3 linked regions of the Oryzias latipes genome follow. The protein of the gene in region 1 interacts with the protein of each later gene in a pairwise test. Links are inferred from orthologs where the notes say so. Each region holds a gene or a part of one and is shown on either strand. Other genes may lie near its edges.

Region 1 (7,486 bases):
TACAAAAGGTCAAGCATTCATCAACAACATCCAGCTACATAGGCACAAACGGCAAAAAAATAGTGCTGCTATTATTCGTAATGTAAGTGATATTCTTTTCACTTTTTGTAAAGAATCATATATTCTGCTCCATCGCACACAAAAAGAGGTCTATGACTTTTAAAATATTTTACTGCAGAAAAAAGACTCTAGACTTTCTTTTTATATTTAAGTCAGATCAACAGAAACACAACGAAGCAACAAATGAAAATATTATTTTACTTTTATAATATTTTTATTTACTTATAATTTATGTCTTAACCAGTTTAAGTGTATACATGGATGGCTGCCTAAAGAATTAAAATTAAATCTAATCTGCAGCACTACAGCAAGTTTGTTAAAGACAAAAGTCGTTAACCTGCTGAATTTGTCTCTTTTCCATTTGTTGGTCAATGCTAAGCTTAGTTTTGTAAAGTTTACTTTCAAATCTTATTGTCATCAGAGAGTTGTGATTCATGATTCCTCCTTAGATTTCTCAAAATGCTATTTAAAGGGCTTGAGGATTTTAACCATCATCTAGAATTCTGATTTACAGTACAAACCCAAATACTGTAAAAAAAAAAAAAAGAAGTGAAAGTTTTTTTTTTTTTTGCATTTACATGGGGTGTTGGGAGATGGCATACTACATGCCAGCCGTTTCATTCAGTAATTTTAGTTTCACTGTTTGGTTTCGCCTACACGTTCCGCATTTTGTTTTTACGAGAAATGTATGGTATCCCACTCAGACAGGTTAGGTGTGTGAAAGGGAAATATTTGAATTCATAACTGACATGTGGTTGATGTGTTCATCTCTGTAGGTTGCCTCATTGTGATAGAAAAATGGAGCAAACCACTCTAGAACTGGGCATTTTGGATTTCATGACAAGAATGGAGGGCACTCAATCACATCTTTTTTCCTTTAGAACCCCCTTTTTTTTTAAATAATAAAAGAAAATAAAAATTTTCCAATTGTGTGACCGTTTTTGTTTTTGTCAGATCAAAATAAAATATGATGAAAAGAAAGGTTGTCCATGGTTGTCTTGATTTTTGTGTTGGATAAAGAAATGGGGAAAGAGGCCAGGAGGTGAAGCCGGCTGAGGCCTATTGAGCGTTAGAGTTACTATCCAGGATGAAACATCCAAGATCCACGAATAGAAGCACAAGGCTCCAACCGACAGTGTGTCCTGTGAATGCCCCAAGCAATGGAAAGCAGAGGATGCGATACATTTTATCTTGGGAGGACCATGGGATGTTCTACTGATATCGCAACCAAATGACTGGAGCCTACAGGTACATCTGTGCAGAATTTGGAGTGGAAACCCCAAGGTCACAAATGGGAAAGCACCTCTAAAAGTGGCAGAGAATGAGAGAGCTAAGATCCTGTGGGACTCCCAGATCCAAACTGACAAGATGGTCATGGAGAACCAACCAGACACTGTAGAGGTGGACAAAGAAAAGAGGAAAGTCTGGAAGAACTGGAGAAAGCTTTAAGGTTAATTTGACGGTGGTGCCTGTGGTTATCCGATCACTCAGGACAGTAACCCCTAAGGTGGAGGAGTGGCTGTAATGTTAGAAATGACCAGAAGAGTGGCTAAAGCAGATCCCTGGAGAAACATCTCAGTCCAGAAAGGTTCAGTCCTAGGAAAGATACTGCACAGAACCCTCAAGCTCCCAGGCCTCTAGTAGAGGACCCAAGCTTGGGTGAGAAACTTGCGGGGGTGTGAAAAGAGTGTTTAATTTATACCATGTAATTCCCCATTAACCCACATCAAATAAGGGGAAGTTGGATGCTTGCCTTGTCACCTAAACAGCAAGTCTCACTCAGCATGGGGGTTTCTTACCAAACTGCACAGAAACTTCGTACTTTCCCTTTTTCACTGCTTCTTGAAGTGAATTCATCAAATTGTGTTTGGTGGCTTCAACTTTTTTTCTAGTGGTTTACCTGTACTTTTCTGTATTTTTTTTAACCAAAGAAATGTCACTGAAGATTTGTTTGAACAAATGGATGTTTATTAAAACCCTATTTATGACTTCTGCCTAATACTATTCCCCTATTCCACATTGGTTATGTTTTGGAAGCTGTTTAAAATGTTTTATTTTTTATTTCATGTGACCAAATGTAAATATATCTAAAGTTGTATAGTTTGGATGCTGCGTGTCTGACAGGGCAGCCTCACAGCCGGCTGAACTTAAAATGACTCAGAACACACTGAAATTTGAACCACTGTCCCACCAACTTTTCAGAAGTTAAAGTGTGATCTTAAAGAAAACTGCATCCTTCATAATAAAAGCATAGACTAAAACCCACTTCAAAATATGTGGCATTTTGTATTCTTGCTCCAAACGTTGAAAAACAGAAAAAAAGCTAAATTTGAATAAATTAATCATATAAATGTCGCATTTGCTTTGAGACATAAGGGACACATTTATAAATGTTTTTTACTCATTTAGTTTCTTTTGTCGACAGTGTATTTTACTGATTTTAAACAGCATATTTGTAAGGGAAACCCCCCCTGGGAAGAAAAAAAAAACCTAGAGATTTGCTTAAAAGTCGCTTTTCGGGACTGCGTGGTTTTTTTTCTCTCTCTTTTTTTTTTCAAATCTACGTTTCAACACATACTGCATAAGTTACAAAAACATATCTTTCTTTAGCAATAACATCTTCGGGCTTGAGCTGTTAAGCATGTTGAAATTTTTCTGTTTAAGTGACAATGTTTTATATTTTTTTCCATAACGAAACTGAAACAGAACCTCTGGAATCTTCTCATTGAACCCCCACTTTCTTTGCGTAATCGACGATGCGCATGCGCATTGTCAAAGACTACGCTGTTCTTACTTCCTGACTTTGGGAGGTCACGCCAAAGGAATTCTTCTACGCCGATTTCCTTCACAGGGCGATCTCATCAAGGACCTTTTCAAACCACGAACCGAAGACCTCCCTACACGAGCAAAGAAATGCAAGTATTTTATGTTTTTAGAGCCGCTGGTAAAGTAATCGCGCGCTTAGCGAACAAGGCTAACTAGCTAGCTAGTCAAATGTTACATGAAATGTAAACAAACTATAGTTACAGCAAAGGTACGCACTTTTAAATAATAATTTGACTCCTTATGTAAGATTCCTTTATCCACTGTAAAACACCAGCAGTTGTCTTTTTTCTTTTATATTAATTTTTAATCCGTGATGTGTAGCCCTTTAAATGATGTGGGTGGAATCTTTGTGAACAGAGCAAAGTATGCAGTTGATAGTTCGTAGAAACACAACAATGACGGCATACGCATTTGTCGCTCACTGGGCGGTTAGAGATGTTAATTTCAGTTTTGCTGTCGCAAAGACAGCAAAACTGTCTTTGCGACAGCATATTTACTGTAGTAAATATGGCCGTTAGCTTTTGATTTGATCACTTGATCACTGAGGCAGAAAAACGTGACAGTGCAAAGATCACATGCAGTCCTCCACCACCAGCAGATAAAATCCCATGTCACAGCTAAATGTGCACCAAATAGTTCCACGTACAGCGTGTTTGTCAGAAGGAGTAATGCAGCATATGACTGTCCTAATGTGTGGCAACAATATCACACAAGAGTCTCAACCTCCTGTAGAAAACAGTGATTGTTTTTGACTGTGCTGCTAGTACATTTCTGGATAATCTAACAAACATATGTGGCAGATCGCTGAAACCTATTAACAGTGTTCCAACATTGTGTTTTGATGAATCAATGATCTGATTAGCTCTTTAAGAATGGTGAACAGTACATCTGCTACACCCTTTGGCATATAAGTTAACTACAGGAGCCGCCCTCGTGCCCATCCCTTGTGCCTTCACTAAAACATTCATTTTTTCAACTGATATCCATCTGGTTTCCTGAGTTACCGGCTTAAAAGAACTTTAAAGAGCCTAGCTATGTGGACAGATTATGACTATGAATGGAATGGACATTCCATACCATTCTATCTACACACACTCTCAAAAAATGTCCAACTGAAAGATATTTGACTTCTACTTTCTGTTTTTGACAAATAATTTCCTCTGGGAGGTGACTAGGCTTGAATAAAAGTCATCACACCTTTAGTATGTGTCATGAATAAGAATTGCATGAAACACAGGCGTGCTGATGCAATGTTTATTAGCACGATGTGATGTCAAAGGTGGACATAAAGATAGGGAAGCTGGTTAACTTCCAGAATACTTTATATTTTTGACAAATCTGAATGACTGAGGAGGACTGAAGCTAGCAGGAGAACATGGCAACAGAGAGCCCTCGGCAACATGGAGAGAAGCGGCGTTGCTCCATGCCAACAGTCCAGCCAACAACTCAGAGGCGAATTTCTAATGATCTACTGCTGCTCTGCAGAAAAATCTGGGCACTTTTTTGGACAAAAATGGCATAGTGGTAATTAGAAGACCCCTGGGAACACTTTAAAAATGGCTCAAAAGATGATCGGAGTAGGTCTTTAAGTAAAAAAAAAGAGATTCCCCCATGATCTATTATTCAAGGTTCTACACTTCTAACTCAAACCTTTTTCATGTTTCTTTTCTTTTAGATTTTGTGTTTACCGCCACAGCTACTTGTTTCAATGATGTGTGACCCCAGCCAAGATGGGAATTGGGAATCGGACTCCACAATTGATTACTCTAAGATAAACAATCGTCTGGAATCTTTCTACAACTCCAGCTGGAGCAAGAAGGTGTCACCGCTGCAACTGGCTGAAGCTGGCTTCCTCTTCACTGGAGTCTCTGACCGCGTACGCTGCTTCAGTTGCCAGAAAACGGTAGAAAACTGGTCCCAGGAAGATCAACCAGTGGACAGACACATACAGGTAATTGTTTATGTTGAAAAAAAAAATAGTTTAGAAATGTTGGGCAATTCTTTTTCAACTTTTTAAATAATAAAGTTCAACATTTTCCTTCCATGCAGGTTTCCCCATCGTGCACGTTTCTCCGCTGCACACACTTCAACCGTTTTAAGTCAAATCCCCATATGCCCCTCAGCAATGGGGGCCTTCATGATGGAACTGAAGGATATATAGATTACCAGTTGAGAACAAGAGCCATTGTTGATGAGACTCCATATCCACGGAACCGGAATATGAAAAGCGAAGAAGCCCGCCTGGAAACTTTCTCTTCGTGGCCGCGTTCTGCTCCAGTCAGACCTCGAGATTTGGCTCAGGCAGGTTTGTTCTACTTAGGAAAGGAGGATAAAGTGGAGTGTTTCAGTTGTGGAGGCAAGCTAAGTGGCTGGAAACCTGGGGACACCCCCTGGAACGAGCATGAAAAACATTTTTCCCACTGCTTCTACATCCTTGGTCATGACGTGGGAAATGTGCCTCTGGAAAGAGATGGAGGAGAAAATGAAGAGACTGGCAGCAGAAACCAACATCGCACACCTGTCAATTTGGAAAATCTTGACGAGCGACTCGGCACTTTTGCACGCGTCCAGCACCCGATTGACCACGAGCTGCTTGCTAAAGCTGGCTTCTACAGCAAAGGTAAAGCATGTTTGTTCAAACATCCCCTTTACAAATGAGATGTACCGGTAATATTTTAATTTTTCTAAATCTAAATGTTTGTTCATAATATTTTTTTATTATTATTCTAGGAGAAGGAGACGAAGTGATCTGTTTCAGATGTGGTGGTGGTTTGAAAGATTGGGACCCTGAGGACAATCCTTGGGAAGAACATGCCAAATATTATCCTGGGTAAAAACCTCCAGCTTTGCTTTTTCCCATAAAAGAAGGATTATGTATTCGTATAACCCTTGTGCTATCCTATGGGGTCAAGATGGCCATTGACGTGTTCTCCCTACATGACAAAGGTGGACAAAGGTGGAAAGATTTCATGTAATCCATAGACACCAGTGAAGATCACAAATCATTGAAGAAAAAAGGTTCAGCTCACTGTCTAGTGGGTCTAGATGACCCAACTCCCAACGTTAACGTGCCTAGGATAGCACAAGGGATGTAAGTGTATTTATGTATGTATCTTACATCCTTTTTTTTAAATTCCATTTTAGATGCAGCTTTCTTTTATCAGAAAAAGGCCAAGAGTTTGTTAATACAATTCAGCTACAAGAACCTAAATACTCACAACAGGTAAGGCATATTATTTCCCCTCATTTAAGAAATCTGTTTCTGAAGCTTCTTCACTTCCCTAGTTTTTGTAGAAATTGTTTTTTTTTTTTTAAATAAAACAAAGAAGGTTTATTTTGTATTATGCCTAGCCTATTCTCTGTTAAAGAGTTGGTGGGGGAGTGTGTTTAAAACAAAAGCTGTTAGACGTTTCTCATGAGTTCAGACAAAAGGATTTACAAAAAGTGATGATGTGACCCTTTTGTTTCCAGGCTTCAGAACATCAAAATGGATTTTTTGAAGAGGAGAAAGGTAAATATTCTTGGATATGTATCTAAATCTAAAAATGTACACTATGGTATTAGTTAGCTGAACCTTTTGAGAAGGAGAACCTAAGCCAGGGGTCTGCAACCTTCAGCACTTGTAGAGCCAATCAGGTTAATTTTTCACTTACCGGAACCCAGTAGGAGCCATAAAAAGACACTGATTTGCATTCATGTTATTGTTACTATTATTGTAAATATAAATCAAGTTGTGGATTTTTCACAGAAATAAAACAGTCATAAAGATAAATTTGTTTGAAATAGTGAGAACTTTTAACAGAGGTTTACATGACTTCCTTTCAAGATAAAAGACTCTCTGTACCACATATGATCATCTTAATGTAACAAATGTTGTTGTAGGAATTGGGATGTCAGCAGTGATTAAAAAACAACAACTATACACTGTTTAATTTATTGTTGTTTATACCTCTCAGCCAGAAATTTGTAAAAATCTAACAAGCTAAAATGAAACTAGATTTTTGACCCTATGGCGCACTTGCAATTGTTGAATTTTGTTCAATAATAATCTCTTCTAGTCTCAGCGTGCCTTAAGTATGAATTCTGGTTGTGTTTACTGACCTCCAGCTGAATTGCTGTGGTCAAATCGTTTCAAACGTTAGACGATTTTGTTTTGATTGATGTATCGTATGGTCTAAAGAATGTTACTTTTTAAAATGAAAAACATTTTAGTATTCTTCAATATGAGAGCCACAAAGGAGGGGTCAAAGAGCCACATGTAGCTCCAGAGCTTCAGGTTGCAGAGCCCTGACCTCAGCTCAGTCATTTGTTGGGGTTAAATTAAAAGTCAAAAAACATTATCTTCTGCAATTTTACATTAATTACATACGAACTGGGCTGACAAATAATAGAAAACATTGAATTTTCAAGCATGGTCTAAGCAGTACGGCAGAGTTAAAAAAAAAAAAGAAAAAAAGTAGGATGCCCAGACCATGACCCTGCTGCACCCCCCTGTGGCCTGCTTGGGCTCTTACAGTTAGAGATTGTCACAATTGGGACCGTGGAAAACTAACCCTTTCTTTTTTCAGTTGAGAACCCTCTAGAGGAGCTGGAGAAGCTG
Region 2 (7,774 bases), on another chromosome or scaffold:
AAGACGCTCCTATTCAAAGAAAAATAAGATTAAGAAAAAAAGGGGGGTGGATGCCACATCAAAACAAAGTTATTGTCTTTTCCAATAAATACCCTAGCTTTGCGCTCCCTGTCTGATGGTGTATCTGTCCAAATGGAGCGATCCTTATTTTCTGGACCAGTCCTTTTCTTAAACGTACGAGCTCCCAAGCCGATGTGTTGCAATTCTGGTGGAAGCTCAGTCATCCATGTTTCTCTAGTTGGCAGTGCAGGAGTTTCCTACCCACCAAAAATACAGTATTAGAAAAATGTCAAAGGAAAAAACATAGAAAATGCACAAAGACAAACAGTCTATTGTTTGTAATTTATTTGTAAAACTATTTAACTATAAAAGAAACAGATAATAAACAGAAAAAAAGGAGATGTCTCACAACTCCTGTCAGCTTGTCTTTCATCTGTTTTGCTCGGCGCTCAATATCAAGGGCCACAGAGTTTTGAACAGGGCCTTTGGCAGGCATGGGTCCAATCACTTCCTCATCCTCTCCCTCACTGTTGGAGGATTCAGCACAATAGCCTGGAGGTAGAGCGGGCCCTGGGAGACATTCTCCATCTTCACCATCACTGTCATCCTCTTGATTCTGTGCTGCTTTGCAAAACCCCGGGGGCAGGGCGGGACCAACAATGGGGCGCCTTCAAAAATAATGTAAAAATGTTATCAACTGGCATAGTTTGTTAGCCCTAATTTGCTGGTTCCTTTATAGATGTGGGAATGAACAAAAATATGATGGAAGTATTGACTTTAATCAAACCACACCACAACTGTCTGCAATGACCAAAATGTAATGAAAATAGGAGGGTAGTAAGTACCTCTAAATGGCGCTCAGACCTAGTAGCTGCAGTTGGGTGTCACTGATCAACAGCCCCTCTAAAAAAAGAGGGTTTTTTTCTGTGGGCTGGTTTGAGCATTTTTGGTTTGGTTTCCAAGAAAGAAAAAACATGAGCACTAGTCTGACAATAAAGCTGTTGTCAATTCACAAGGAAAGTGATATAATTTTGAATAACTGGGAAAAAAATAGCAGTTGGCTTAGAAAAGCTGGAGGACAAAAAAGCCATTTCTGTGTGAAAAAATCATCAGAGCAAGACTGAGGATCGAGGAACAAAATCTATAACGACTGCCGACTTAATCTAGACCTCCACATTGGCGAGAGTTAAAGCCGCACTTCTGCAGGAACACCTCAAATCTAACTTTAGGTCTAACTTTAGGCTTGTTTTGCTGCTGTATTTTCTCTATACTTTGCCGTTTCTGAATAAATCTTTAAGTCTTTTTGAACCAGGGTTTTATAGAGGCAAATGTCATACTATGACAAAAGAGTCTACAATAAAACAGGTTAATTAACAGTTGATGATCAGTGAGTTTCCTGCCTCCATCCTAACCAGAAAAATGCACAATCACAATTAAAACAGTTCAAACGATAGTTTCTTTTTTTTTTTTTTTTTTTTACTTTTATAGTCCATTAAAAACATTTCTTAGGGCATCTGCTCACCTTTCAGGAGAACTCTCTTGTTTCTTAAATCCTGGAGGCAGAGCTGGCCCAAAGAAACCGTCATCTTCATTACTGCTCTGTCTGCACAGAGACCGAATCCAATGTCGTTATTTGGCTATAGAGACAATGTATTGGGATTCGAACCTGAAACACTTTAGTGAACCCACTCAGGCCGGTCTCCAGCGCTGTGCCCCGTCTTTGCTCTTTTCCTGGCGATCTCCGGCTCACTTTCATCCGAAGAGCTCGACGCCTCTTCCCGTTTGTATCCGGGAGGCAATGCCGGCCCAGCAACTGCAGAAAAGATAGATATCAAACTAAAGCAAAAATACTTCTACAAGAGTTAACATGAACTGCTGACGTAGCAACAAAAATTATACTTGGATGTTGATTCCTTAACTTACAGTCATTTTCATTAAGCTCGTCCTCGGAGCTCTCCTTTAGAAACATTGGAGGCAAAGCAGGTCCAATTAAGTCTTCCGACGACATTTTGGACTTTGAATTAATTCACTGTTTTCATCAGATTTTGTTAAACGACATAAAACACTTCACAAACCACAAAACGAAGATCGTCCATAAAAAGCTTTTTTGACCTTTTACACAGGAAGTAAATACATTTGTTTGGTCAAAGGCGGAAAAGTGCTTTCAGAATAAAAGCATGGGTTTATTAATGTCGTATTACTTTGGACTAATGTTTTCAGAAATATAAACTTAATGAGAACCCCTAACAAGTATTAAACTATTTGGATGGTTCATGTTCTTTTTTGTGTGTTTGTGTATTTGTGTGTGCGCATGTGCGTCTGTGTATCATGTTCATTCTTTTATTTTATGTTCTACATATATATATGTTATGTTAGGTTATGATTGTTATTTGTGGTGACGTTGTTTATATAGTTACTGTTGATCTCTGTATGATGACTCAATTGTTAATAAAGTTTTTTGGGGAAAAAAACTTTGTACTAATGGTTTTGTACTAATTAGCTGCTGTATTTTTTTCTCATTTATCAAGCCTTATATAGTCATGTAGTTCATATATTCATATTGTAGTAAAAATGTATTGTAATTAGTGAAAATATAGAAGTAAAGGTTGTCATACTTGTACAAACTGGTATTGAGCAAAATACAATCACTGAGGTAGACCTTGGGATCAACCTGAGATTTCATACTAATATTACAGAATCCAGAAAATTTGGTTGTGCAGCTGAAAATACTACATAAACTAATGTGTTAAGATAAAAGCAAGAAAGAAATTTTAAAGTTTTGCAGTTAATTATATACACTAGATTTTTCCATAAACTTTCAGATTAAAAACACTCCATGAAAACACTGTGGCTAATGGTAAATACTTATAAAGCGCTTTTCTACCTTGAATTTGGTCTAAAGGGATCTTGAGTCAAAGTCACATTCACCCATGCACACACACATTCACACACTGATGGTGGCTCTGCTGCCATGCATGGTGCTAGCCTGTCCCTCCAGGAGAAACGTGAGGATCAGTGTCTTGCCCAAGGACACTTAAACATGGGTGGGCAAGGCAGGAATCAAACCTGCAATACTCCAATCAGAGGTCAACCTCCCCAACAATGCACCACATGCCGCCTCTAAAGGCAGAAGAAATTGAAATGTAGTGACTGAGGTTGAATCTTCAATGTTAACTTTGATATAATCAAGTTTGTTGTCAAATAAAGAATACAATTCAGGCACAAAAGAAATAAAAATAGATCAGGAGGGAAAGATGAAATGTTTGAATTCCAAGATCTACCAATGGTGCAAAGGGAAAATAGGTACAATTTTAGTGCTCACAGTCCACAGTCTAGTACATTATACACCCTGTTATGCACTTAGTCCAGAAAAGCGCAGTGCTAGGAACAGCTAAGAAACTGCGCAGGACCCTCAAGCTCCCAGGCCTCTGGTAGAGGACCCGAGCTTGGATTTTTATAAATTACCCACTTTATCAGACACTTACTTGATTCTGCTCTGGGACAGCGCCTGTTAAATGTTCTGGGGGTAGGCTATATTTATTTATTGAATTATGAACAGTATAGGACTCCATAGGGCTAGATGGTTTAAACATTGATAAAAGGACGTTGAGTGAGAACTGCCAGGATGTAGTCAAGGAGGACATGAGGGTGTTATATAGTGGTGGAGAATACATAGGACGTGGTTAGGCAGAGGCTTTTGCTGTGGAGACTCCTACAGGTTACAACTGGAAAGCTAAAAATAAGCTCTGCATCTCATTGTGAGGTTCCACTCCACGGCAGAAGGGGGCAGTAACGCGCTGCTTAGGTTTCTTCAATAAAGAAGAAAAAATGAGGACCGGAAGCTTTCTTCATCTGGATTTTCACCATTTTGGCTAAATTTCTTGAAATTGACGCACTTGTTAGTGCTCTTTTGCAAATTTTCCGTAGAATAATTTAATTCTGTATAATGTATTAGACATATTTTATAACAGACATTTCATAATGGGTAGAAAGGACAGAGGAGAGCGGGGTAAGTGACGTCGTTACACAACAACAATCTCATTCTCATCACTCACTCATTTTTAATATTTTGTCTTATTTTTTATATTGTCATAATACATAAGCTTCTCGATTTAGTTTTAAGCAAATGATAGTAAGATAATTCTGCTGCGAGGACAGAAGGGCAGGTTTGTTTTTGACTCACTGTTATTACTTTGATCAGGTCAGATCTGATGTAAATAAGTCGTCTTAAAATAAATAACTAAATAAACATCACATCAGTGATGTCTATCTAGAAAGCAGTTGTGTGAGAATACTGTCTCATTTCTTGACCTGCTGGGCTGTAGAAAAGAAGTCCAAAAAACGTTACTATGAAGAGGAAGAGGAGGATGAAGAGGTAGCCGGTAACGAGTCCCAGGAAGCCGTACCCGCTGCTGCAGGAAAACAGGTGGATGAGTCCGGTACAAAGCTGGATGAGTATGGGGCCAAAGACTACCGTGTTCAGATGCTGCTGAAGAATGACCACTCTTCACGGCCGCTCTGGGTGGTAAGCTGTGCTTGATGGGCTCTTGGACTCATTTCAGGCTTCCAGCTTCTGCGCAACTGCAAAGTATTATTATTGTTTAATTTTTTTATTACCTCTTCTAGGCTCCAGATGGGCACATCTTTTTGGAAGCCTTCTCACCAGTGTATAAATATGCCCAGGATTTCCTGGTGGCCATTGCAGAGCCTGTGTGCAGACCTAACCACATCCATGAGTACAAGCTGACTGCATATTCTCTATATGCAGCTGTCAGTGTGGGACTGCAAACCTCTGATATTGTGGAGTATCTGCAGAAGCTCAGCAAAACATCTGTACCAGATGGAATTGTACAGTTTATAAAGGTTTGACAGCAAAATCTGATGGAAAAGGTTTTTATGGCGATTGAATATTATTATTTATCTCTGTTTGTTTTTGATCAGCTCTGTACTGTGAGCTATGGCAAAGTCAAGCTGGTGCTCAAGCACAACAGGTCAGTTTATTTGGATGGTGCGTTAGTTATTTTATCACCAAGCGTCTTTTTAGCACCCTTTACGGGTTTTGTCTTCTTTCAGGTATTTTGTGGAAAGTGCCTTCCCTGATGTGATCCAGCGCCTCCTGCAGGACAGCGTTATCCGTGACTGTCGTCTTCGCACTGCCGGCGGAGCAGACTCTGAGCTCATTACTGAGGTCATCCACAGCAAGCCAGCGGTACGCTAAGCAGGATTTCTTTGCATTTAATGACATTTTTTACATGCAATGCTCATATTTGAAGGTACTTTAAAATTCTTTAATTTGTAAATAAAAAAAGTGAAAATATGTTTAGCTAAGGTGTCTAATGCACAGACGGATGTGCTTTCTGTGTGTCACAAAAGATTCTGTGGAAAGATGCATTTCTTTTTGTTTTTGACAGATCACGAAATCGGTTGAAGAAAGAGGAAGTGCTTCCACTTCACAGCAGCCTGATGATGGGCAAACGTCCACCCAACAGGTTCCTGAGGACATCTTCAAATACTATGAGCAAATGGATAAAGATGAAGAAGAGGAGGAAGAGACTCAGACAGTCTCCTTTGAAATTCGCCAAGTATGCTTGGGATTGGTGTCTAAATATAACCACAGTTTTCTTTTTGGCACTTTACTTCAAATTTAACATTATCAAGAAGAAATCGCCAAGTTTTTCTCTCTCTTTTTTTTAAATCTGATTTGCTGTAGGAGATGATTGAAGAGCTACAAAAACGTTGCATTCAGCTGGAGTACCCTCTCTTAGCCGAGTACGACTTTCGCAATGACACGGTTAACCCGGACATTGCCATAGACCTGAAGCCCACTGCTGTGTTGCGGCCCTACCAGGAGAAGAGTCTGCGCAAAATGTTCGGGAATGGACGTGCACGATCTGGAGTCATCGTGCTGCCCTGCGGTAAGCTGCCATGGAGATTTTAAGAGAACCGAGGATGACTAAAAAGGCATTTAGGCATTTAATTCGTTTAATTAAAGGATTTGGAGAGACAGATTTTTAGTTTAATATCAATAGCTTGGAGTTCGTTTTTTTAAAAAGTCCTGCTTTTTATTTTTACCCATCGAACTAAGTCATAAAAGTATAACTAGCTTTACAATCGAAACATTTGGATTCTACTTGTTATGTTGATCCTCTAGTTTTCTGTTAATAAGGAATTCAGGCAGGATCATTTATTTATGTGTTTTTTCTTTGTGGTATTGCCATTGTACTATTGCAAATGCAAAACCTTTTCAATAGATTGTTGCAAAAAAAATAAAAATCTCAGTATTGGACTTAGTTTCTATCAGTATGTCTACTTCTGACCCACAGGTGCGGGGAAATCTCTGGTGGGCGTCACGGCAGCGTGCACGGTGCGAAAACGCTGCCTGGTGTTGGGAAACTCTTCCGTGTCCGTGGAGCAGTGGAAAGCTCAGTTCAAGATGTGGTCCACCATCGACGAGTCGTTAATCTGCCGCTTCACTTCCGACGCCAAGGACAAGCCTATCGGCTGCTCAGTGGCTATCAGCACCTACTCCATGCTGGGTCACACCACCAAGCGATCCTGGGAAGCTGAAAGGGTCATGGAGTGGATGCGGAGCCAGGAGTGGGGACTCATTATTCTGGATGAGGTGCACACCATTCCTGGTGAGTTCTTCAGCTTTGTAGTTTAGAGCATAGTTTTATTTAACATGCACTCTAAAGCTGCATATGTATGTTCCAAAAGGACAATTTATAACAGTTTCAGATGCAGAGAGAGGAACAGAAAGGATCGGGGCAAATGTTTTTGTGAAAGAATTGATCTTTGCATAACTACTCTCATTTCTCTGTAGCAAGAATGTTTCGTCGGGTTCTCACCATCGTCCAAGCTCATTGCAAACTGGGCCTCACTGCCACACTGGTCAGAGAAGATGACAAGATTGTGGATCTGAACTTCTTGATAGGCCCGAAGCTCTATGAGGCGAACTGGATGGAACTACAGAACAACGGATACATAGCCAAAGTCCAGTGTGCAGAGGTGAGAACTCCACTACAGTTAAGGCCACAACATATTTCATGATTATATCAGCTTTGGTCATTTGCCTTTTCTTGACTTTTTAACCTGATAAATATTGAGTTTTTTTGTTTTTTTTTAGTCAAAGCTGTACTGAATGTCATTTGATAAAAAAACTAAACAGATCAATTGGATATGTTTTAATCAGTAAATTACATCAAAATAAGAAATATAAATAAATTATTCAGTTACTTTTTTTTTTGCTTTCTAAATTTCTTTTAAAACATTTTCCTTTTTTATTTACATATCTTTTAAATCAACATTCATTTTTTAAACGTGTCTTTTCACAATTTTTTTTAATGCTACCTAAAAGCTTGTCTGAATAATTAATTATAAAAAATTATTTAAAATATTTCAATGAAAAGCCACTCTATTTATATTATATTCAAATTAAATGTAATGTTTAAAATTAAATAAAGAAATAAATACATTTTAAAATATTTCAATTTATAGCTACAGATCAGAAAAAGTTTTAAAAAGTCTTCTGGACTTGGTTTGTTTTTTTAAGTTGAAGATGTTTTGCCTTTTATCCGAAAGACTTTGTCATGGATGAAGGAAAGTCTCCACAAATATGCAAGCTGCAGTTTAAGCTTCTTTATAGCCTATTTTTGTATGAACTTGCTACTATATAGAAATGAGTAAGAATTCACTTACTTTACTTGCTTCTTCTAACACAAAGATGGAACATATAAAAACTTCTTTATCATTGTGCTAAACAGTGCCGTAACTG
Region 3 (7,564 bases), on another chromosome or scaffold:
GAATTTGAACGTAACCAAAGGCTTTTTAGTTAGCTCCTGACGGGTAATTCTTCCTAATTCACGACAAAAGTAAAAAAAAAAAAAAGTTAATATTTCTGAAAATGATCCATAATGTTTCCCTATGTAGTAAACAAAGGTCACAAAAATACTTTAAAAGATGAGTGAAACTCAAGAAAAACTGGTAAACAAATGCAAGAACTGCTGTCAAGGTTCAGAAAAATGACCACGTTCAGCCTTTGAGGACGGTTTGAAACCACCGCCAGAAATCCTAAAGTCCTGCCAACTTAAGATGAATAATATCAAACAGACACAACACGCTGGAATTGAAGACACAAGCTGCAGAACATCACGAACATCTGACCTAGAAATGATTTCCTAGATTCTCCACGAAGGCAGAAATCACTGATCAAATCAATAAAATGTTTTGAAACAAGGTTTAATTTATGTGATCTAAGGTAAAGCAGGTGGTTTATAGTTACATGTGTTACAACACATTAATAAATTACAAATGTTTTGGGACTTTGCTCTAACAAGCAATGGTTACCTTGCAAGTAAGATTTCTAGAAATCATTAATTATCAGAAAATAAATATGATTTAGTGAAGGACAAGAGTGCTGCGTTTCCCATCATCCCTTTGTTTACACACTCTCCCACTGGCTTACAGCCCCTCATCACCCCAACGTGACATTGTGGGTTTAACAAAAATGGTGAGAAATATTGGCGCTATCCAGCCGCAGTTTTAAGCCAGATGCCAGTTCAGACGAGGAAAACGAAGATGTACATGTCATCTACAAGTGGATGCATCAGGATGGAGCGGAGCAGGGGGTTTGAGGCTTGCTGTTATACAAACCCAAAACCTTTTCCGTTTTTTGTCTACTCCGGATTCACGATGATTTGAAAAAAAAAGAAATACTCCGAAATGCTATTTTGATCTTAGTTTTTTTAAGAAATGTCCTCCTTCATCAGAAAGAAAATGCCACAAGATCATGTGAAAAACACAGAAAACACAATTTTCATCAGGGACGGCCTTAAAAGAAAGCTAGATTTGTAACAACCCCACCATTATGTTTGATCTTCATTCATCTTTAAAAAATTATAACCTTTGCAAGTGCATAATATAATTCTCACAACGTTCCTGTTTGCTTTGCACTTTCCAGCCTGATGTTTGTGCTCCATGTTTATGGATTAAGTGTCTCCTCAATGAAGAGCTCAGACATGAAGCATTAGAGCAGCATGTTGATGTGTGCAGCACTCTCTCTCTTTCAGGTGACTTTATGGTCTCGAATGTAGCTTTTCAGTTCTGTTAATCCCCCTGGGGGGGGGGGGGGGGGGGTTAGAGTGTGTTGAAGGCGTGCAGAACCTCAGATGGCTTTATGGGCCTCTTATTGCACTTAATACTGTTTGTTTTAATCTCTTGGGACAGCGTCGTCACATTCTCACAGGTGTTTATGGCTGCTCTGCGTCCGCAGCACTCACGCTGACCTTTCTTCCTGCGTGCGGCGCTCTGACTCTGAAGCAGGTCCGCTGGCCGGTTAAAGGTGGACCATCTCAAACGCAACACCGGGTTATTGTGACCGTTACATAACGTAATTTACAGAATACCCCCACGGGCCAATTAAAGGATAGGGATGTTTTGTAACCTTGTCGGTATAATCTGGTCGCCTTGCGTAACGGCGGCTGGGTTTGGGATGAGCCCAGAGCGCGCGCAGGCTGGCATGGCACACCGGCAACGGATTGTAAACACGGGGCTGCACGCGCAGGCCTCACGTATATATCTGATGAAGAGGAGAGCCACCTTCTCTTCCCGCCACCTGCAGAATGCGCAAGTCTCCAGCAGCCCACTGCAGCCCCGTGGCCTCGAGATTTATTGCACTGCACAGACAGAGCCGCGCGCACGGATGAAAGGCTGTGGAGCTTGGAGCCCCTGCATATGGATGCAATGACAGCACCAGGGTAGTTTGCTGCTGGGAAAAAAAAAAACAGCATAAACGTGCAGAGTGGCCTGTAAAAACTGACAGCCCTGGGTGATGCTTTAGTTGAGGATGCAGAGCAGTAATTGAGTCAGGGAGCCGCTTACCTCCAGCGTTCGGATCTCTTTTTGTGTCAAGTCGTTGGATGTGGCACATTTGGTCCGTAAACCCTCCAAACTAGAAATGCTTATGTCAATCATGTTCTGCACCAACTCGCACTGCTGCAAGGCTTTCTGCAAACTGAGATGCTGCTCCTCGCTTTTTGTCATCTCCTCGTTCATAGTTTAGCGCGCGCTGGATGGTATTTTTTCCCCTTAGTTTGTATTTCCAAGACAAAAAAAGAAGAAGAAGAACAGAGGGTTAAAAAAAGAGGATAATTCAAGAAAGAAACGTGGAGGAGCCCGCGGAAAAGAGCAACCAGCACAGCGCAGTGGAAAGAGATGCTGCAGGCTTAGACTCTGGCTTTGAGCCGTGAGAGGGTCGCCTCCATTGCAACAACAGTCCTCGCAGCTCCAGCTGGATGATCAAGGATGTAAACTAGACCAAACTCAATGTGAGGATGCGGAGCGGGGCTGAGCGGTCTGCTACAGCATCCATCGGGCGTCCTTTCCGTTCTAATGGATGCTGAGGAAGGGGGGGGGGGGGAGAAAAAAAAGGGGGGGAAAGGAACCAAATTTGCTGCTCAGCGCATCCTAAACAGCCGGATCGGGTAGAACCTGGCGGTTTTAAAGGTGCTGATGTGCGGATTGGATGCAGGTACTCCCTGTCTCCCTTGGCAGCAGCTGCATCCCGGTTCGCTCCCACCACACCGACATGTTTCCCGTCAATCAAAGCCACAGCAACAGCATCGCAGCGCCGCCGTAAGGGGCCGCTCTCGCGTGATCACGGCGCGCTCAAGTGGGTTCTCGTCTGCTGGACGAGAAACGCATCATCTGCGACAAATGATCTTTATTTTTCAGGGTGATATTTCATCAAATTAAACATAATTCAGCAATCTTACTAAAATGCAAACGAAGTGCCTGTTAAACTAAAAGGTTAAACAAAATTTGAAAACATTTTTTAAAACATTTATTGTGTGTACTCACCCAAGTTATTAAATAATGGGGGGGGGGGGGGCATGTTTTACTTATTTATTTATTGTTTTTGGTTGTCGCCTGGTTAGGTAGCTAAATAGTTAACGTCTAAAGCGTATATTCTAAATGAAACGTATTAAAAACCAAACAGATTAAGAAACTTGTGTATTTTTCTATTAATTTAATTTACCTATTTTACGAAATACTTATTGCACAAGTTAGATAGAAATGTATGTACATCAGGGGATTAAATATTGTTTTTTTCCTGTTAAATGCTTTAAAGTCTTATACAAATCTTTAAAATTAGTCTGATTTCCACAGCACATTAATTTTCGTTCTGAAATGTTCAAGAAAATCGGTCAAAAATGTTTTCGCCTACGGATAAATATCAAACTAACACAGAGATTTCTATTTTACAAGATAATCAACTCAAAAATGTTTATAAAATAAACAAAAAACAATTTTAAGCTTTACTTTAGAAAATATTAAAATTCTTCAATTGATATTGTGGTTTTTTTTACAGTTTACCTTCAACATATCACCATGATCCCACCCACCGGAAAGCAAAACGACATTCTGTTGGTGTTACGTCATGACGTTGGCGTGCGTTTCTGTCGCGAGCGCGGCAAAAGGAAGCGACATAGAACAGACGGGGTTTTTCCTCTACTTGCCCGGCTAATAAATAAAGTTACCGGGAGTCATGGCGTCTACGAGTAGGACCCCGTTACAGAGCAGAAACCTGCCATGGTGAGCCGCGACGAACGAGACGTTTGAGAAGCGGCGAGAATGTCGTTGTTGTCTAAGACTAAGCTAGCTGCTCCTTCAAGTTCTTGTTTGTCTCCAGTCAGAGGCTGTGCTTTTTTTTTTTGTTTTGTTTTCTTTTAAGTTTGTTCAGCTTTTTAAAGGCCTACACACTTCTTAAAAAGAAGGGAAAAAAAGAAATATTCTACTAAACAACGTCTTTGTTTTTGTGCTAAAAGTGTTTGTTTTGCATTTCAGGGTAGAAAAATATAGACCACAAAAACTCGATGATTTAATTTCACACAGAGACATCCTGAGCACCAGTAAGTTTGTTCATTTAAGGAAGCAAATCGACTCTGTGGTGTCCAGAGTTCTGAAGGTCTCCATGTCTCTTCAGTCCAGAGGTTCGTCAGAGAGGACCGGCTTCCTCACCTCCTGCTCTACGGGCCTCCTGGAACCGGAAAGACCTCCACCATTCTGGCCTGTGCCCGGCAACTGTACAAGGACAAGGAGTTCAACTCCATGGTGCTGGAGGTACCGTCTCCACTCAGGATCTTTAGTCTGCAGGGATTTTCTCATCTCCAAGGGTCCTGATTCTGATTCTCTTCTGTTCAAGCTGAATGCTTCAGACGACAGGGGTATCGATGTGGTCCGAGGTCCCATCCTGAGTTTTGCCAGCACCAGAACCATCTTCAAGTGAGTCGGTACCGCTCCAGCTCTCTGTGACCTTCTGCAGAGATTCCCTCCAGACAACTCCAAACTCCTTTTTCCTCCCTTTGATCCCCAGGAAAGGCTTCAAGCTGGTGATCCTGGACGAGGCCGATGCCATGACCCAGGATGCCCAGAATGCATTGCGGCGAGGTGAGCCATCTGTTCGCCTAAGTATGGCTTGCTGTGAGCGACACGGCTCACTGGGCAGCCAAATCATTTGGCTGATGATGCATGGGTCTGCATGAAAACACAACCGTTTTCTAAAATAATCCTTTGCATTGATTTTGTTGATTAAAATTTTTTTTTTCATAGGTGTTGAAAGTAGGTTATCGTCAACGATCTCATAAACGAATTAAGATGTTTGCAGATTTTCAAAATAAGACGATTTTAAGTAACTTTATCCCATTGAACTAACGTTTTGGCAGGTAACAGTCTGTCTTTTTATTTTTGTAAACTTCCTGCTGTCTCCCGTACGCCTCAGTGATTGAGAAGTTCACAGAAAACACCCGGTTCTGCCTCATCTGCAACTACCTTTCCAAGATCATCCCCGCCCTGCAGTCCCGGTGCACCAGGTTCCGCTTCGGGCCTCTGTCGGCGGACCAGATGATCCCCCGGCTGAGGCACGTCATTCAGGAGGAGAGGTGAGGAAAACCGGGACCGCTTTCGGCCTCTGAAGTCTCTCACTTTCTGAGTCTGTCAGAAGCATTAAAAACGACTGTGATGTTGACATGAAAAGATGCTTTCAAAGGATTTTTGAAAAATTAGGACTATAAATGGAATGAAAAACTTTACATTCTCGTTTCTGCCATTCGCATTCATCGCTTTTTAAGCTTTTCATTAAGAATCTCTCAGTTTTCTTTTTTTCTTTTTTTGATCCGATTTCACGTTTTTTTATGCTGATACCCGAGTCTCGCTCCAATACTTTTATAACACATTTTAAAAGTTGAATAAACAAATGCAGGTTTTCCCGTTTTTATTCTATTCCCCCTTTATTTTGTCAGAAAAAGAGCACCTCTGTGAACAATTAAGTACAAATAGTGCAACCATCAACTAGAAAAAATAACAAACTATTAACTGGTAAAAATAGTTGATAATTAGTCATGTGAGAAAGTTTGGTGACTGTAGCTTTGGCTCTTCAGAGCTTTTTGGATCAGATGTGATTTTTTTTTTTTTACTTTGGGAAAAAGAAATACCCATTTTTTTAAAAGGCATGAATATGATGAGTATTTATGACTTAACTTATATAAACAGAACCATTTATGTATTTGTGTTGTTTTTGAGAGTTTATTATCTTCTGATCACTTTTTCACAGAGCTTTCTTTTTGTAGACGGTCCCTTAGCAGCTCTTTTCACTGCCGTTTCTCTCTTTAATTCTCCGTATTTGAAAAACACATCGCATTTTTCTTTAAAGGTCATCGTTTACGTTAAGACAAACCAATAGAGACACTTGCTGTCAGTTTCAAATGTTAATTAAAAGAATTTTGAAACCTAGAAGTCCAAATATCCTTCAGACTTTACCAAACTGTGTTTGTGCGCCTCCCGCTCAAGCTAGTGCCATGTTTTTGCTGCGTTTTAGGGCAATAAGATGTTGTGATCCGTCCATGAGATGCAGACGTCTAGTACAGGATTTATCTGTAAAAATAAGCTTTAAATGCATAGCGCTGATCATAATAATTTTCCTCTTTAAACTTCCTTTTGGCCTTTAATGAGCTGAATCTTGTCTGGTAGCATCGACATCACCGAGGATGGGATGAAGGCCATCGTGACTTTATCGTCCGGCGACATGAGGAGGTCGCTGAACGTCCTGCAGGTGGGACCTCCTCACTCCTCCTGCCGGGATGTTCTCCAGCAGAGAGGAAAGACTTTTCGTGTCCTTTCAGAGCACCAGCATGGCGTACGGGAAGGTGACGGAGGACTCCGTGTACACCTGCACGGGACAGCCGCTCCGCTCGGACATCGCTAACATCCTCGACTGGTGCCTCAACAAAGACTTCACCTCGGCTTACAAACGTATCCTTCCATCAAACCCACATACAGAGCTGGAACCGCTCTTTTAGAAATCTAGACTTTCATCCGTTAGATCAGTGATCCCAAACCTTTTTTGGCCTCCAACGTTTAACGTCGGACTATGGTCGTGTCCGAATTCCTTCCCCTTTGTAGAGCTGTCCGAATCTACAATTCCCAAATCCAGTGTCCTGGAAATTTCCCAGAAGTCTCTGCGAAAAACCAGTGTGCATCAATGCTCACTAGATCGATAGACCACAATGCATTGCGTCGGAACATTTTTTGCCATAAAAAAAGTATTTTTTAAATAAACCATCAACGTTTTTATCTTCAGCAGACTTGTAAATACTCGTCGCAAAACGCTCATAGTAATTAGATTTTCACTTTGTGAAATCGATGACGTCATATCCGCCGTTAAAAAAAGAAAAGTAGTGAGCAGGGTGTCTAAAATCCAGGGCACTACATAGTGCAGCACTGTATAGTTTTTTTTCACAGCGATCCGAACGCGGCAGAATCAGCTTTTCAAATTAAAATGCTCATGAAATGAAGTCTAAAAAACATTTTGACAATATTTTACAAATAATGAAGATTCAGTGAAACGTAGTTTTTAAAACTCATTTCAGTCACGTTTCACTTGGATTGACTGAAGAAGTTTCTAAAATGCTTTTTTTTGTGTGAATCTTTAACCTTTTTGATGCCAGAAATCCTCCAGCTGAAAACTTTGAAGGGTCTGGCTCTTCATGACATCCTCACCGAGCTGCACCTGCTCGTTCACAGAGGTAATCCAGCAGAAATACTCCCATTACCATCGTGGAGGGAGGATTTTTTTTTTTTATCCTCCTCACAGTTTCACGTCTTAGTTTTACATCCTAAAGCAAGCATCTCCTCTGAAACGTTTTCCTCTTCCTCTGCTGAAGTGGATTTTCCTCCTGCTACCCGCATGACTCTGCTGGTGAAGTTAGCCGACGTGGAGTGAGTGCCGCCGCGCCGCCTCCCCCTCCCCCCCCCCCCGCATGAACGCTACAAATGTGCTGACGCGTCTTTTTTCACTTTCAGACACAGACT

The links.
Region 2: the proteins of E3 ubiquitin-protein ligase XIAP (region 1) and ercc3 interact in binary tests that used the Homo sapiens proteins (3 or more experiments, as listed by UniProt). The two-hybrid records come from large-scale screens. The link is inferred for Oryzias latipes from reciprocal best matches to the Homo sapiens genes XIAP and ERCC3.
Region 3: the proteins of E3 ubiquitin-protein ligase XIAP (region 1) and rfc5 interact in binary tests that used the Homo sapiens proteins (3 or more experiments, as listed by UniProt). The link is inferred for Oryzias latipes from reciprocal best matches to the Homo sapiens genes XIAP and RFC5.

The regions. Positions count from the first base shown.
Region 1 is NC_019868.2:22,021,278-22,028,763, forward strand, and holds the start of E3 ubiquitin-protein ligase XIAP, read left to right. Parts: upstream 1-2,824; 5' UTR 2,825-2,975; intron 2,976-4,561; 5' UTR 4,562-4,594; coding exon 4,595-4,837; intron 4,838-4,935; coding exon 4,936-5,506; intron 5,507-5,616; coding exon 5,617-5,716; intron 5,717-6,030; coding exon 6,031-6,109; intron 6,110-6,357; coding exon 6,358-6,397; intron 6,398-7,454; coding exon 7,455-7,486. Other genes in the region: E3 ubiquitin-protein ligase XIAP, read left to right, coding at 1-82, 837-851.
Region 2 is NC_019861.2:14,776,737-14,784,510, forward strand, and holds the start of ercc3 (general transcription and DNA repair factor IIH helicase subunit XPB), read left to right. Parts: upstream 1-3,812; 5' UTR 3,813-3,981; coding exon 3,982-4,009; intron 4,010-4,325; coding exon 4,326-4,525; intron 4,526-4,626; coding exon 4,627-4,863; intron 4,864-4,941; coding exon 4,942-4,991; intron 4,992-5,073; coding exon 5,074-5,209; intron 5,210-5,411; coding exon 5,412-5,582; intron 5,583-5,710; coding exon 5,711-5,915; intron 5,916-6,323; coding exon 6,324-6,638; intron 6,639-6,823; coding exon 6,824-7,008; intron 7,009-7,774. Other genes in the region: gpalpp1 (GPALPP motifs-containing protein 1), read right to left, coding at 1-9, 93-257, 410-668, 1,523-1,603, 1,690-1,813, 1,924-2,008. UniProt on the Homo sapiens protein: ATP-dependent 3'-5' DNA helicase/translocase. Binds dsDNA rather than ssDNA, unzipping it in a translocase rather than classical helicase activity. Component of the general transcription and DNA repair factor IIH (TFIIH) core complex.
Region 3 is NC_019867.2:3,439,899-3,447,462, forward strand, and holds the start of rfc5 (replication factor C subunit 5), read left to right. Parts: upstream 1-3,602; 5' UTR 3,603-3,743; coding exon 3,744-3,790; intron 3,791-4,042; coding exon 4,043-4,107; intron 4,108-4,181; coding exon 4,182-4,318; intron 4,319-4,400; coding exon 4,401-4,480; intron 4,481-4,571; coding exon 4,572-4,645; intron 4,646-4,976; coding exon 4,977-5,136; intron 5,137-6,223; coding exon 6,224-6,305; intron 6,306-6,375; coding exon 6,376-6,505; intron 6,506-7,200; coding exon 7,201-7,471; intron 7,472-7,555; coding exon 7,556-7,564. Other genes in the region: ksr2 (kinase suppressor of Ras 2), read right to left, coding at 2,078-2,251. UniProt on the Homo sapiens protein: Subunit of the replication factor C (RFC) complex which acts during elongation of primed DNA templates by DNA polymerases delta and epsilon, and is necessary for ATP-dependent loading of proliferating cell nuclear antigen (PCNA) onto primed DNA.